2 linked regions of the Oreochromis niloticus genome follow. The protein of the gene in region 1 binds, or shares a complex with, the protein of each later gene. Links are inferred from orthologs where the notes say so. Each region holds a gene or a part of one and is shown in the gene's direction. Other genes may lie near its edges.

Region 1 (6,972 bases):
ACGATAACCAGTACTGAATGATTTTACAAACTGGAGCTGACAAAGGTCAGGAAGACAAAGAATTGACTTCACCAAAGTGATTTGGAGGGGAAAATGTTTTTCAGTTTGATCTGTGGACGTGTCCTACTAACATTTAGCCTTGAAAAGTAAAATGGTTGAACTTGGTGAGACTTTGAATCATATTTTCAATCCACTTTTATTACATTACAATATGTCATTTTCTTGTATTCTTCTATTATTGTAGCGTGTTTACCTTACAATATGAAGCGCCTTGAGACATTGGTTGTTACGGTGTGGCGCTATATAAAAAAATTTGAATTGAATGCGTAATGTGAAACATTGTGATGTAATCTTTACCTTTAGCCTTTTTATTTATGTAATAATAATAATAATAATAATGTTATTTTAAATGAGCAGGTGCCGCGAGGATAGAGCGTCCCTCTCTGATGACGTCACGTGTGGACACCTTAAAGCCTGCATAAACGAGAGCACCTCTCGCCGGGTGCGGTGGCGCGCGCCTGTAATCCAAGCTACCGGGAGGCTGAGGCTGGCGGATCGTTTGAGCTCAGGAGCTCTGAGCTGCAGCGGACTATGCCGATCGGGTGTCCGCACTAAGTTCGGCATCGATATGGTGCTCCTGGGGGAGCTCGGGACCACCAGGTCGCCTAAGGAGGGGTGCACCGGCCCAGGTCGGAAACGAAGCAGGTCAAAGCCCCCGTGCCGCTCAGTAGTGGGATCGCGCCTGTGAATAGACGCTGTAGTGCAGCCTGAGTAATACAGCGAGACCCAGTCTTTTTACACTATTTCTCCTCTCCACAGAAATATACACCCAGCACACAACCTCATACATCATGTTTTAACAGCTTATAACACCATCAACACAGTTTTTCTCTCCGTCCTTTCCATTAAAAAACACTGGTTTGTTGGTCCCACAGCGCCTCCACCTGGAGAAGAGTGGCAATTACATCACTCATTGCAACTTCACAGAAACTATTCACCTATACGTTTTTTTCTTCTTTCTACAAGCTTAAGTTGGCTAAAAGAAATGGATGGATGTAGATGGATTGTTACACATCTGTCCAAACTAACAGAATTGGATTTTGTTTTACTTCTTTGAAATAATTTTTTTTAAAGAAGGAAAAATCAAGAGACTATAAAAACTAAGTCACATTTACTTAAACTGCTTGTCTTGACTTCATAATAAATTTTACTGCAGTGCACATCACATGTACAAACATTTCGACTTTATTCATCCTACCTAAGGACTAAATACTTCCACAGACTGATAACAGCCATAAAGACTGAAATTCTGCCATGTCTTTGTCTGGATTTTACTTTTAGCCCTCAAATTTGTCTCTTGTGTAATTACCAGAATCTCAAATGAACAACAACTGATGCCCACTGTCATTACTGGACTGTAGTCTACTGCCTCCAATCATCCAAGAAACGACATAAAATAATATTAACTGTATCTTTTTTGCTGAGGATATTGTAAAGGTTGGCTGAGAACACATTAAATTCACTTCCTTTTCACTTTACAGCTGTGGGTCAGTGCTGGATATTTAGAGTGCTGATGTGTTTGGCCACAACTGAAGAAAAACTCAGACTAACAAACAACATCAAACTAAAGGGAAAATAAATCAAAACAGGGAAAATCCACATTAACAATTAAAAAGGTGACTGATGAGACAACTCTGCACAGACATACTCCCCCGATATTACATCCACCTTGGCCTGCTGGCCACCAGTGTCTTGAAAGACAGTAGGTTCTAAAGCTCTAGCACACAGAGCCTGTAATTCATTACTTAACCCATTTAATCCCAAATTTTCCCTTGTAAAATAAGTGCATGCATTTTAGTCCTTAGACTTCCCCTACACACAATATGTTTACAGTTTTTTTTTAATGTAATGGGGGTTAAAACGGCAACAATTGTTGTCGGTGGGATTAAATGGGTTGACTAAGATGTAGCAGTGCTTTATGTGCTATCAAACAGAAGTCTGTTAAAAGTGAGGAAACATTAGCCAAATAGAATGAATATGGCACATTCCTCTGGGAACATGACTACAAATGCAGATCAGAAGCTGGGGCCATTCTGGGTTCAAACTTTTAGGGCGGCTCAGCTCCCAATCATAATGTCTTGCATGCAGTGCCTGGTAATTAATATTAAAGGAATATGCTGTTTGCAAATGTTATTTAAGTTTTAATATTTGCAGACTTCAATTCAGTATAATAAACATCACAATGTTACATTGAAAAGCAGCCTAATTAGTTGGATGACCTGTTATAGTGTCTAAAAATAATTTGGAGTGAATAATCATAGATTTTAATATAATCCACCCGTTTTAGAGTGGAGACTTTAGTCATCAAACCCAAGGCAAAGGCTCAGTCGTTAAAGAAGTTTTAAAGAACCGTTTATTGCAAAGCAGATAAGATGAGAAACATGGACAACATTATTTCAGTCTGTTAATCACATAGAGGCAGTCCACCAAATCACCAAGCACTTAAAGTAGCATCATTCAGTACAGACACTGGATATTCAAACTGCCACTCCCTGTGCACGAAGCAAACTGGTAATAGAGTTGTTTTATATGAAAGTTTTTGCATTCATACAAACCCTCCTGTCATTATGCAGACTCAGCACAGAGCAGTTTTATTAACAACTCCTCAGCTCAAGGAGACTATTGTTGTTTTTCTTTACTAAATGTTGTAGTGTAAAATGATTGCTGCAACCAAAGTGTAATAAGTGGAGTTGTGGATTATGTGTCAAGATAACCAGTACAGATTGATTTTACAAACTGGAGCTGACAAAGGTCAGGAAGACAAAGAATTGTCTTCACGAAAGTGATTTGGAGGGGAAAATGTTTTTCAGTTTGATCTGTGGACGTGTCCTACTAACATTTAGCCTTGAAAAGTAAAATGGTTGAACTTGGTGAGACTTTGAATCATATTTTCAATCCACTTTTATTACATTACAATATGTCATTTTCTTGTATTCTTCTATTATTGTAGCGTGTTTACCTTACAATATGAAGCGCCTTGAGACATTGGTTGTTACAGTGTGGCGCTATATAAAAAAAATTGAATTGAATTTGTAATGTGAAACATTATGATTTAATCTTTACCTTTAGCCTTTTTATTTATGGAATAATAATAATGTTATTTTAAATGAGCAGGTGCCGCGAGGATAGAGCGTCCCTCTCTGATGACGTCACGTGTAGACACCTTAAAGCCTGCATAAACGAGAGCACCTCTCGCCGGGTGCGGTGGCGCGCGCCTGTAATCCAAGCTACCGGGAGGCTGAGGCTGGCGGATCGTTTGAGCTCAGGAGCTCTGAGCTGCAGCGGACTATGCCGATCGGGTGTCCGCACTAAGTTCGGCATCGATATGGTGCTCCTGGGGGAGCTCGGGACCACCAGGTCGCCTAAGGAGGGGTGCACCGGCCCAGGTCGGAAACGAAGCAGGTCAAAGCCCCCGTGCCGCTCAGTAGTGGGATCGCGCCTGTGAATAGACGCTGTAGTGCAGCCTGAGTAATACAGCGGGACCCAGTCTTTTTACACTATTTCTCCTCTCCTCATAAATATACACCCAGCACACAACCTCATACATCATGTTTTCTATAGCTTATAACACCATCAACACAGTTTCTCTGTCCTCTCTTTCCATTGAAAACCACCGCTGTTTGTTGGTCCCACAACGCCTCCACCTGGAAGAGGGTCGCAATCACCACCACTCGCTTCACTTGAGCTAAACGAATTTTTATGCATAACTACTCCCAGAAGATGGCGCTAAGCTAGCAGTGAGCGAGTCTACTTACACTCAAAAAACGTAAGCGAAGAAGAAAACGCTTCTCTTCCTGTGTAGGGCATGTGCTTCCTGTGTCAACCATGCACATGTGGTAAACAAGCGTAAGCATGGATTTTTCAAGTAAGTGGAGTGATCTTCCTAAAGGTCCGAGTCTGAAAAATTTGACAGATGGAAGCTTTGGCCACATGAAGGACACCCAGCATGCTGCCATTCAGGATCTGACCAAAGCTCACATCGAGTCGTTTGACCAGGCGGTCATAGACGGACTCAACCGCGTTGTGCAGGTCAGCAAAAGTTTCTTTAAAGTTTTCAACAATGTGATGAATCACTTCATTAAGACCAGCGATTAACCCCAACTAGTTAAAACTGCGATTAGTTACGTACACTGTGTGACTCGGAGTTGTGTAAGCTTGTCTTGAACACGCCGTGCAGTCATATGCAGTGAGTTACTGTAGGTAGGTAGGTAGGTAGGTTAGTGAAAGCCACCATAACAACGATGAAATGAGTGAGTGAAGAATTTGGTTTCCTGCTGGGCGACTAGCTGCTGATATCAGCTCCAGCAGTATTTTCTCAGCTCAACCTGCTGTGAACATCCCTCTTGCAGTTGCTTCCCATAATCTTTGCCTTTCTTACGTTTCTCACTTTTCTGTCACCTTTCCCAGGCCATCCCCCCCTTAGAGTTCATGTTCAAAAATGAACGGATCAGCCTTGGTTTCGTTGAAGCTGCCATCCAAAACCCAGTGGTTGCCAAAGGGAACATCTGCAAGGAAATGAAGGTGTTCCCAGCAGAGTGCCGGGGAAGAAGATGCTCGTACAAAGGGAAAATAGTGGTAAGCCTGAGTCGTGTTTATATTCCCAGAGCAACATTAAAATAATCCATATTGACTGGGTGAGTGTTGCCTCACTTCAGGCAGACGTCAGCTGGTCGATCAACGGAGTTCCCAAAGGCATCATCAAGCAGTCTCTGGGTCATGTGCCCATCATGGTGAAGTCCAAGCTGTGTAACCTGCATGGCATGTCCCCCAAAGAGCTCGTAGAGCATCACGAAGAAGCCGAGGTAGGATATGGCAGTTGTACTTTCAAACTGAGCCAGGATGGGTTTAAATATTGTCCTATAATACCAGCCTCAACTTTGACAGGAAATGGGAGGTTATTTCATTGTGAATGGAATTGAGAAGGTTATCCGCATGCTGATAATGCCAAGGAGGAACTATCCTATCGCCATGTCAAGACCCAAGTGGAAGAACAGGGGTCAGGGTTACACTCAGTACGGTAAGTATTACTTCTAAAGAAAACAGTGCAGCAATGACTCCACGCCTGCATGTTTTCACTGGCTTTTTCTCCTCACAGGTATTTCTATGCGTTGCGTGAGGGAGGAGCACACAGCCATCAACATGAACCTGCATTATCTGGAAAACGGGACTGTGATGCTGAACTTCATCTACCAGAAAGAGCTCTTCTTCCTCCCACTAGGCTTTGCGTTAAAGGTGAACAAGCTTTCATTACAGAACAGATTATGATAAAAATGCTTTAGGCTCATTGTGTGCTCATTTGCTGTCATGTTCCTCAGGCTCTGGTGGACTTCACAGACTTCCAGATCTACCAGGAGCTGATCAAAGGCCGCGAGGACAATTCTTTCTACAAGACCTGTGTTTCTGAGATGCTGCGCATCGTCACGGAGGAGAACTGCACCACCCGCAGCAAGGTGCTCAATTACCTCGGAGAGCGCTTCAGGGTTAAGATGAACCTCCCTGAGTGGTACACAAATGAACAGTGTGCCAACTTCTTGTTAAAGTAAGCTCTGGGGATGGATACAGTTGACACTATTCTGCTTTTTTTTGGTGGTATGTTTATTTAAAAAAAGGGTCTTACTCTGTTTTGATCAGTGAGTGTATCTGCATCCACCTGAAGTCAGATGTGGAGAAGTTCTACCTGCTGTGTCTGATGACAAGGAAGCTCTTCACTTTTGCCAAGCAGGAGTGCATGGAAGAAAACCCCGACAGCATCGTGTGCCAGGAAGTGCTCACTCCTGGTCAGCTCTACCTCATGTTTCTGAAGGCAAGAATCTTCAATATTTTTCGTAGTTTTCTTTTGTCTTTGTCCTTTCTCTTTTGCTGAGCAGGAGGACTGTAGTAGCATTTCAGCTGCTCCTCTTAGGCAGATCATTTGCCTCCATCTCACCCGATCGCTAACATCTTTCACAGCAGCCCTCTGCATGTCCTCCTTCACTACATTCATGTTTCTTTTCTGTGGACTACTTCTTGTCCTTTTACCTGACTGCTCCATATCCACAGTCAGTGTTGGGGAGTAACGGAATACATGCACAGTGGTCCCTCGCTGTAATGCGATTCACCTATCACGGCCTCGCTGTTTCGATGATTTTTTTGGTGCAATTTTCCATGTGTGTGTGTTTTTTTTTTTTGTTTTTTTGTTTTTTTTTTTTCCAGCACATTGTGTTCTGCATCCTGATTGGCTGTAGACCATTGTCAATCAATTTCGTGCCGTGTCTCCTGTTTAGTACAGAATGCGTTCAGCTTGTTAAATTTAGATAAATCTTCGATCGCTAGCAGTGTGACTCTGAAGTGCTGCACTGTATGTTTGTAAGTTTTCTCCCCAACAAACACAACAATGTCGACGAGACGTTTTGCACCATTAAAGGCAACCGCGGGTGATTTGGTTTCATTCTATAATACTGGACTTATTTTTCTACGAAGGTTTGAACTTTGAAAATGTTTAAACAACAGTGAAAAGTGTGAAAATGTTCATGCCTGTCTGAGAAAAGTGTATAAACTGTGTAGTGAGTGGTTTTACAGCCTTAAAACATCTATTATAATTGTAAAAAAATAAAGTTGGCTACTTCGCGGATTTCACCTATCGCGGGTTATTTTTGGAACATAACTCCCGTAGTAAACGAGGGACCACTGTACCGGCATTACGCATTTAAAATACAAAATATGAGTAACTGTATTCCGTTACAGTTACCGTTTAAAAAGGTGGTATTCAGAATACATTTACTTTGTTGAAATAAATGGATTACACGGCGGTCTTTTCCTGATTCATATGTTAGGCTATGCCCTCTTTTGGTAATTCCACGGCGGTGGAAAATACATTTTGGGGCATGTATTCTGTAATCTGCAGTGGAATACATTTTAAAAGTAACCTTCCCA
Region 2 (7,493 bases), on another chromosome or scaffold:
ATACTAACACAGAGAGAACTTGTGGTGAAGGAGGTGGAGATGGTGGTAAGATTGCTCCGTCAGATGTGACAGAAGCAGCACGTCCGTGTCCCATTCCTGCTTCAAGACAGAGTCGCATTTTACCCAGAAGTCTCTCTGTGCCAGCCATTGCGTCTGATCGCTCTGACCCTCGTTCTGCACCTGTCGGTCAAACAGAGACAGATGAAGCTGCCACATCGTGGCAAAGTAAGGTACGACAAGAGATCAGAGTTAACCAATAAAGACCAAACATAACACACATCTTCATGTTCTACCAGAGGACAATCTCACATGGCGTTTCTTACAGTTTTCCATTTTATATATATTTTTTTATTTTCAGCCTTCCTGTGAAAAAGATCCTAAGGCTCAAAGACCCACATTATCCAAATCAAATACCATTCAGGACCTCTCACCTTGTCGGGGCCCCGCACCTGGCCATGGATTCCCACTCATCAAGAGAAAGGTACAGCAGCTGGATTTAGAACAAACTCAAAGGTCTCAAACTCTAATTCTGAGTCATTTCTAGATGTGCCTTTGTGTCATGTACATGCAGACTCATCATTAACACGAGACGTTTTGAGCAAACTGAGTAGTTTACCCAGAATAACAAGGTTTAGTCACTTTGTGCATTTTTTTGTGTGTGTGTGAATTATTGCTTGACAGGTGCAGACAGATCAGTGCACTTCCCCAGAAGAGCTGCAGGTGCAGATGAGAGAAGTGGATCAACATCTGGAGACACTGGAGGGAAAAGGAGTGGAACTGGAGAGGAACCTGAGAGGCTGCAAAAATGGTTCGTCCTAAATAAAATCATTTATTGGCACAAAATCCTCGATATTGTGAAGCCGCTTTGAGTAAATGCCAATAAATTGACGCTCCCTGCTTTTTTATTTCAGATAAACAGGAGGAACAAATGCTAATGCAGTGGTTCTCTCTTATCCACGAGCGGCATGTTCTGATGTGCCACGACACGGAGCTGGTTCATCTGTAAGCGTTTTTTCACTTGTGCGGCTTTTCTTTTTTTTTTCTTGTTTTCTGAGCATCGTAAACACCTGTGTAATTTCTATTTCTCAGGACAAAGCAGAAAAACCTGGAGGACAGGCAGACCGACGTGGAGTACGAACTCCGGTGTCTCTTTAATAAACCTGGTTAGTATGTAGCTCTGTGCATCGTTCGGTCACTTTTATCAGCAACTGTATTTGACATTAACGGGAATTACTGATCTCCATAGTCAAGGGGAATTACCGGGGGTGCTTGTAAATAATTCAGGGATCAATAGTCTTTCATCCAAGGTTCTGTAGGCGTGTTGAAAGGTCTTTAGCAGAAATTTGACATAACTGCCATCAGATTTTTGCGTGTCAGGGGTGATTTGTAACAGCATGGCTGCAACGGTGAAAAGGAATGTTTACAAGCTGAGACCTGCTGTGACATGGTTCAGAGACATAGTTAGAGGGGCTGAGATATCTAAACATGTAGAATCTTTATGATCATGTAAGAAAAGTACAGTGAAATTGTATGGAGTCCTATTCAGTGCACAGAAGGCAATCTAACAATCTCAATCTGTGTGTGTTTAAATGTGTCTGTGTGTATCATTATTATTAGACTGTTGTTCACTGCTGAAGAGTACTGGTTGCGCGGGTTAGTGAGAGGAGGGAAATTCTTCAGTGTACATTAGTTCTGGGAGATGTGCTGTTTTTCCAGTCTGTTTGTCTTGTTCCAACTGCACCGCCTCCCTGAGGGTAACAGCTGGAATGTGTGATGTGCCCATCAGGATACTGTGGGCTTTACTGTGGCACCAGGACCTGTAGAGGTCCTCTAAAGCACAGTCGATGATTTTCCTGGCTGCGCTGATGACCCTCTGGAGTGTTTCCTGAGCAGCGCAGCTTGCAAACCACACTGGGAAACCGTTCCGCCTGTACACTTTGAGCTCCTTGGCTAGGGAATTGTTTTTCAGGAAACCTCTGGAAGTGAAGTCGCCACTGTGCCGTCTTGATCAGCACAGTTGTGTAGGTTTTCCAGGTTAAATCATCATCCAGATGCAGCCGCAGAAACTTCAGTCAGAGACCCTCTCCACACAGTCCCTGCTGATGTGATAGGCTAAGGGTCTGTTTCTCCAGAAGTCCATTGTTTCCTTAGTTTTTGTGGTGTTGAGGAGCTGTTTGTTTTTCCACAGAGAGGACAAAGACTGATGCTCTAAGAAGACGACCACAGACGAGATTCATAGATGTAGTGAAGGAAGACATGCAGAGTGTTGATGAGGCAGATGAGACACTGTGGTGACTGCAGCTGGAAAGAAGAATAGTTGATGATCCTAAAAGAAGGAAAGAAGACCCAGTTAAACAAATGTGGCATAGTAATAGACTTGGTCATTTTCTTTTTGTGGAAAGTGATCCAATTTTGGGCACTGTGAGGGAGCAGAGTCTGAGATTTCACTAACCTTTGTTCCTTTGTGACCTCCCGCACTACAACACGCCCACTGCTGTGGAGGGTAACAATGCTCCAGCATTTCCTCCATTTGAAAACTCACTACTGTAAGTCTAGACTGGTGGAAGTCCAAACAGTTTAGAGATGGTTTTGTGAACTTTTCAAGCCTGATGAGAAACAGAAACACCAACTCACATTTGATTGTCAAGTCTGTCACTGAAAACACTTGTTTCTAATCACATATTTGAATTACCAGTTAATCTTAGAGGGTCACATACTTTTGCCATTCTCAGACTGGTAAGTAATACTGGATCCTGGCATGCTTTTTGAGGCTAAATGGTGCAACAAGAACAAGAAACACTACAAGAAGGCTCTGAGTTGGCTCTTAAAAGGCACTGAGATGAATTAATATGTTTCTATAAGAATATTGTTGCTATCCTATCAGTGGAATCCAATGAAGATCGCTGATTTATTAAATGAAATCTTATTGTGTTGAACTTTCATTGTCATCATCTGCACACACAGACAAGAACTGGAGTCAGGAGGATCGAGATAAAGAGAAGAAGCTGATGGATGAGCTGGTCACCATCATTGAACAGAGGAACCACATCATCAGCAGCCTGGATCAGGACAGACAGAGGTACTTAAGGAAAAAAATAAATTATGCTTTTGCATTTGTAAATTTTATGTGAGTACAACTTTGTTTTTCTGATTAGGGAGAGAGAAAATAACGTGCTTTGGGAAGATATAATGAATAAAGGTAAGATAACGAGTCTTCTAATAAAAGCTCTTTGGTACTGTTTTGTATCTTCTGTTTTTTTTTTCTGTATAACGAAGGCAGAAAGAAATGGATTCGCTGGATTACAAATAATGCTCTATGTCAATGTTTGCTTACTGCTTAATGTTTGTTTTGCTGCTCTTCCATCTCTTCTCAGACTTCCAGAAAGAAGGATTAAAAGAGCTAACGAAGTCAAAAAAAGATTTCAAGCCCACAAAAGTACTTAAAATCCTGAACCACAAAGAAGAAAGCACAAAGAACTCTGTGGACAAAAAGAGTTGAAGAAGTGTCAGAAGTTCTCATTGTTCATCTGTGAACAGTATGAAATATGCACTTATTAAGTACATGCTTACTAATTGTGTGTTAAAGCCCAGCTCAGTAACATCACCAAACAAAATGTATTGTTCTCAGGCGGCACGATGTATACATTATTATTAATGTGCTTTTTCACTCTAAAAATTGTCAGTATCTTATTTTTTATGATATTGTATCACATACTTGTGTTTTTTTTAAGTGTGAAATAAATCTTCTCATATGTTAAGTACTGTCTGTAGTGCATTTGAATTCATCAAAAAACAGACAAAAAATACTTTATATATACGCACAATGTGCCTGTTAACACAGCAGTAATGTAGGATTATGTCCATTCTCAATTTTGCAGTCTTTTTTTCTTCAATATGATTTTAAGTAAAAGGAAAATAATAAAGAGGAGAGGCTGAAAATACTTGGTGACTCAAAATATGAGTCTTAATTTTTCGTTCTAGAAGATCTTATTCTGAAAGGTTGTTTGACGTCTGAACATTAACGAAAAAACTGGGCCACAACGGGCACTGTGGAGATTCCCAGCTAACATGTTGGCTGTCAAGTCTAAACGAAGCCCAGGCTAAATGGCATTTAAGCAGCTGCATTTATGTTAACAAAGAAAATTATCTATTTCTCATAGTTTCAAAAAGAATGTTTTCCTAAGTAAAATTAGAGGTCATAAAAAGCTACAGGCTCATTGACGCCACTCAAAAATAAAGAGAAACAGAAATACCGCTCGTACGACAAATGGCGAATTTTATTTATTTATTTTAATTACAACAATCAACGTTTTTGTTGTTTGTTTTTTGGGATTTAAAAACAATAAATAAATATAATTTTACTGGAGTACAAGTGGAAAGGAAAAACAAAAGTTCCTTTTCCTCTCTTTCATCCGGAATATTTTCCAGCGCACCAAACCACCGGAAGTTTAAGCTTCGTAGCGTTCATGTGGGTCCGTGTTAACAACAAAGTGTGTTGACTTTCTTCTACCGTTTGAGTAATTTTATACGTAAACTTTAGGTTAAAACATGTCCGACAACGAAGATAAGTAAGTAATGATGACACTTTAATGAAATTCATATTAAAATGCTTGTTTCTTTATTATAAGTTGGCGCGAACTAACATTGTAGCTAACGCGGTTAGCCACACTGCTAACTGCTTTGTATAAACTCATTGACAATTTGCTGTCTTTAGAATCCATTTATTGTCTTTAAAAACAAAACTTTGTGTCAAATTTGCAGCTTCGATGATGGAGATTTTGATGATGCCGAGGAGGATGAGGGATTAGATGATCTCGAAAACGTGGAAGACGTAAGTTGATGACTCTCTTAACTGGACAGCACAGACACTGCTTTGCTTTTGTTGTTTGTCGTCAGTTTTATTTTTAGCACTACTGATTGCCTTTGTATCATGTTTATTGTTGGTTGTTTTCTGGTGAACAGGATGACCAGGAGAACGTGCAGATCCTGCCCGCGGGAGAGGGCCAACAGGCAAACCAGAAGAGGATCACAACTCCGTACATGACCAAATACGAGAGGGCCAGAGTGCTGGGGACACGAGCCCTCCAGATAGCGTGAGTGTTTCTTCATCGTCATTTACAGCTTCCACATGTAAATGAAATTTGTCCTCCCGCAACAGACAAGACAATAACCTATCTTTAAGAATAAGTCTTAAAAAATAATTAATAGAGAATATGAAAAAAAACAAGACACATTGAAAACTGAGCAGGGCAAAACAGTGCAAGCGCAACCACTGACGTATGGAGTTCACCAATCCTCCAGCCTCTGGGAAGAAGCTGCATTTGAGCCTTGTGACCTATGGCCTTGGTACTCTGCTGGGTGGGTGGGTTCCCTCATGATCCAAGGCACTACTACTGCACCTGCTGAGACAAATGTCCTCAATGGAAGGGAGAGGAGATGAGGTTGCTGCACAGCTGACATTACTTTCTGCAGTAACTTCCTGTCAGCAGTAGACCACTTCCTGTTCAAGGTGGTGATAAAGAAAGTAATTGTACTCTCCACCACACACCTGCTGCCAGCACTGGGCTGTTAAGGCAGGCCTGCCTCATGGTTAGGTTTAAGGTTAATCATGCTGGAGGTGTTAACGTTCCACGTCCGACTGATACAGAGGTTATGTTTCCCACACCAGTCTCCCGATCTTCCTGACAACCTGACATAGGAGTTTCCACTTTTGTGTTTATGAGAGCGAAGTGTACAACACTCTGTGTGATGCAGAGCAGTTCTTCCTGTAGGTGTACTGATAAGCATAGTGTTGTTCTTTATGTTGACAGCTGCTCAAAGCATTTCATAACTATCAGAGTGAGTTGTACGGCACCACAGTCGGTGAGAGTGAGATGTTGAAAATATTCGTCCACACTTTTTTGGTCCTTTTGTCAAGTTTTGTCATAGAATATAGATCTATGCTGAAGAGTAATGTAAAAGAGTACTGCAGTGTAGTACACCGGTATAGTACACTGTGTTACTTTGTCTTTTGTAGGAGCAAAGGTAAGGATCATGAATAATTGAGTGAAGCTGGTGCATTTAATGTCATGTTAATATAAAGTTAATTAGCACCAGAAATATCAGTTTACCTGTGATTAGAGTTCATGTTTTATAGATGATAGTTGGATTCAGGTGAGCACCTTCTGATCTTAACCTTAGGTGTGTACTACAAAGTGAGATTAATGGGTTAGCAAGGTAAGACGAGGCTAAGCGTTTTCAGTGTCACAAAGATGGCTTTTCTTTGACCTGGCCAGATCACCACAGTAAATTATGCTAAACACACAGCCTGGTCAGCAGCATGTTATGGTTAAAGTTTTAGTTTAAAATCATTCAGAAGTGGCACATTTTCACTGATTTTTTTATTTCCAGTAGGCTGTAAATGTGATATAGATTCTCTGCTGAAGTGAGATGTTTTGTAAATGCTACCTGTAGAACTTAAAAATGTCTCTGATGCTCACTTGACCCATTCTGCACTAAAGGAGAGTCAAATATCGTGTCGGACGCCACCTTTCTTATATGTGAACACACAAAGAGCCTGACTTAACAAAAACAGTTCTGTGATGACACCTACCATCTCTGACTGGGGTTTTAGGTTTTGTCAAGCCAGATAGCTAGGTTTTCCCTGCACTATGTTGAACTTCATTTGTAGTATATGCCTCTCATTTACCTTCTATAAACCTTTCCAAATTAATAAAAAAGAGAAAGGAAACTCTGCGGCACAAAGTAAAGCACGATCAAAAATGACTTGCTTCCTCTTAAAGCACTTGGACCTGTCACTGATTAACCCAGACTTCCTTAAATACTAACCCTCAATTACCCAAAAGAAGAAGATATGGTGTTTGTAGACTGAGCATTGAAAAAAGGCTCCAACACTGTAATGATGTGGTTTACCTGCTGACTTGTCTCCAACAGGATGTGTGCTCCAGTTATGGTGGAGCTGGAGGGAGAAACAGACCCGTTGCAGATAGCTATGAAAGAACTAAAGTAAGCCATCATTTTCTTTGATGACTTTATGTCATTTCTCTTTTTATGTGTGAGTGACATTATTTAAAGAGCAGGTGACTGTAACAGTATCTCTGTCTTTTTGTCCTCACCGACAGGAGCAGAAAGATCCCCATCATCATCCGCAGGTACCTTCCCGATGGGAGTTACGAGGACTGGGGTTGCGACGAGCTCATCATAACTGATTAAACATCTTATGAAGAAGTCTACGCTGACAGATCAGCCTAAGCTGCTTCACAGCCACCATCCTAACTGGTTTGACAGCTACACAAACCCAGTGGAGGAGTGTCCTTCACGCCCACTCCCAGATCCAGTCGCCGTATTTCTCTGGTGACTGTATACATGAGTTGTACTGCCTAGGACTACTTAAAGACTCAAAATAGTGCAAAACAAATTATTATGTTGTTTATAGGTCATAATCCTGTGAACTTACTTATTGTTTTCCCCTCTAATTATTTGTTTAGTGTTCA

What was found.
Region 2: polr1b (region 1) and polr2f share a complex: the UniProt entries of both Homo sapiens proteins name them as parts of the pol I pre-initiation complex. The link is inferred for Oreochromis niloticus from reciprocal best matches to the Homo sapiens genes POLR1B and POLR2F.

The regions. Positions count from the first base shown.
Region 1 is NC_031978.2:25,915,712-25,922,683, forward strand, and holds the start of polr1b (DNA-directed RNA polymerase I subunit RPA2), read left to right. Parts: upstream 1-3,912; coding exon 3,913-4,089; intron 4,090-4,467; coding exon 4,468-4,635; intron 4,636-4,715; coding exon 4,716-4,862; intron 4,863-4,944; coding exon 4,945-5,077; intron 5,078-5,155; coding exon 5,156-5,292; intron 5,293-5,375; coding exon 5,376-5,599; intron 5,600-5,691; coding exon 5,692-5,863; intron 5,864-6,972. UniProt on the Homo sapiens protein: Catalytic core component of RNA polymerase I (Pol I), a DNA-dependent RNA polymerase which synthesizes ribosomal RNA precursors using the four ribonucleoside triphosphates as substrates.
Region 2 is NC_031969.2:9,906,678-9,914,170, forward strand, and holds the start of polr2f (DNA-directed RNA polymerases I, II, and III subunit RPABC2), read left to right. Parts: upstream 1-4,407; 5' UTR 4,408-4,548; coding exon 4,549-4,568; intron 4,569-4,761; coding exon 4,762-4,831; intron 4,832-4,962; coding exon 4,963-5,093; intron 5,094-6,933; coding exon 6,934-7,005; intron 7,006-7,121; coding exon 7,122-7,212; 3' UTR 7,213-7,493. Other genes in the region: MICAL-like protein 1, read left to right, coding at 1-230, 359-481, 682-808, 912-1,002, 1,090-1,163, 2,965-3,079, 3,156-3,199, 3,375-3,499. UniProt on the Homo sapiens protein: DNA-dependent RNA polymerase catalyzes the transcription of DNA into RNA using the four ribonucleoside triphosphates as substrates.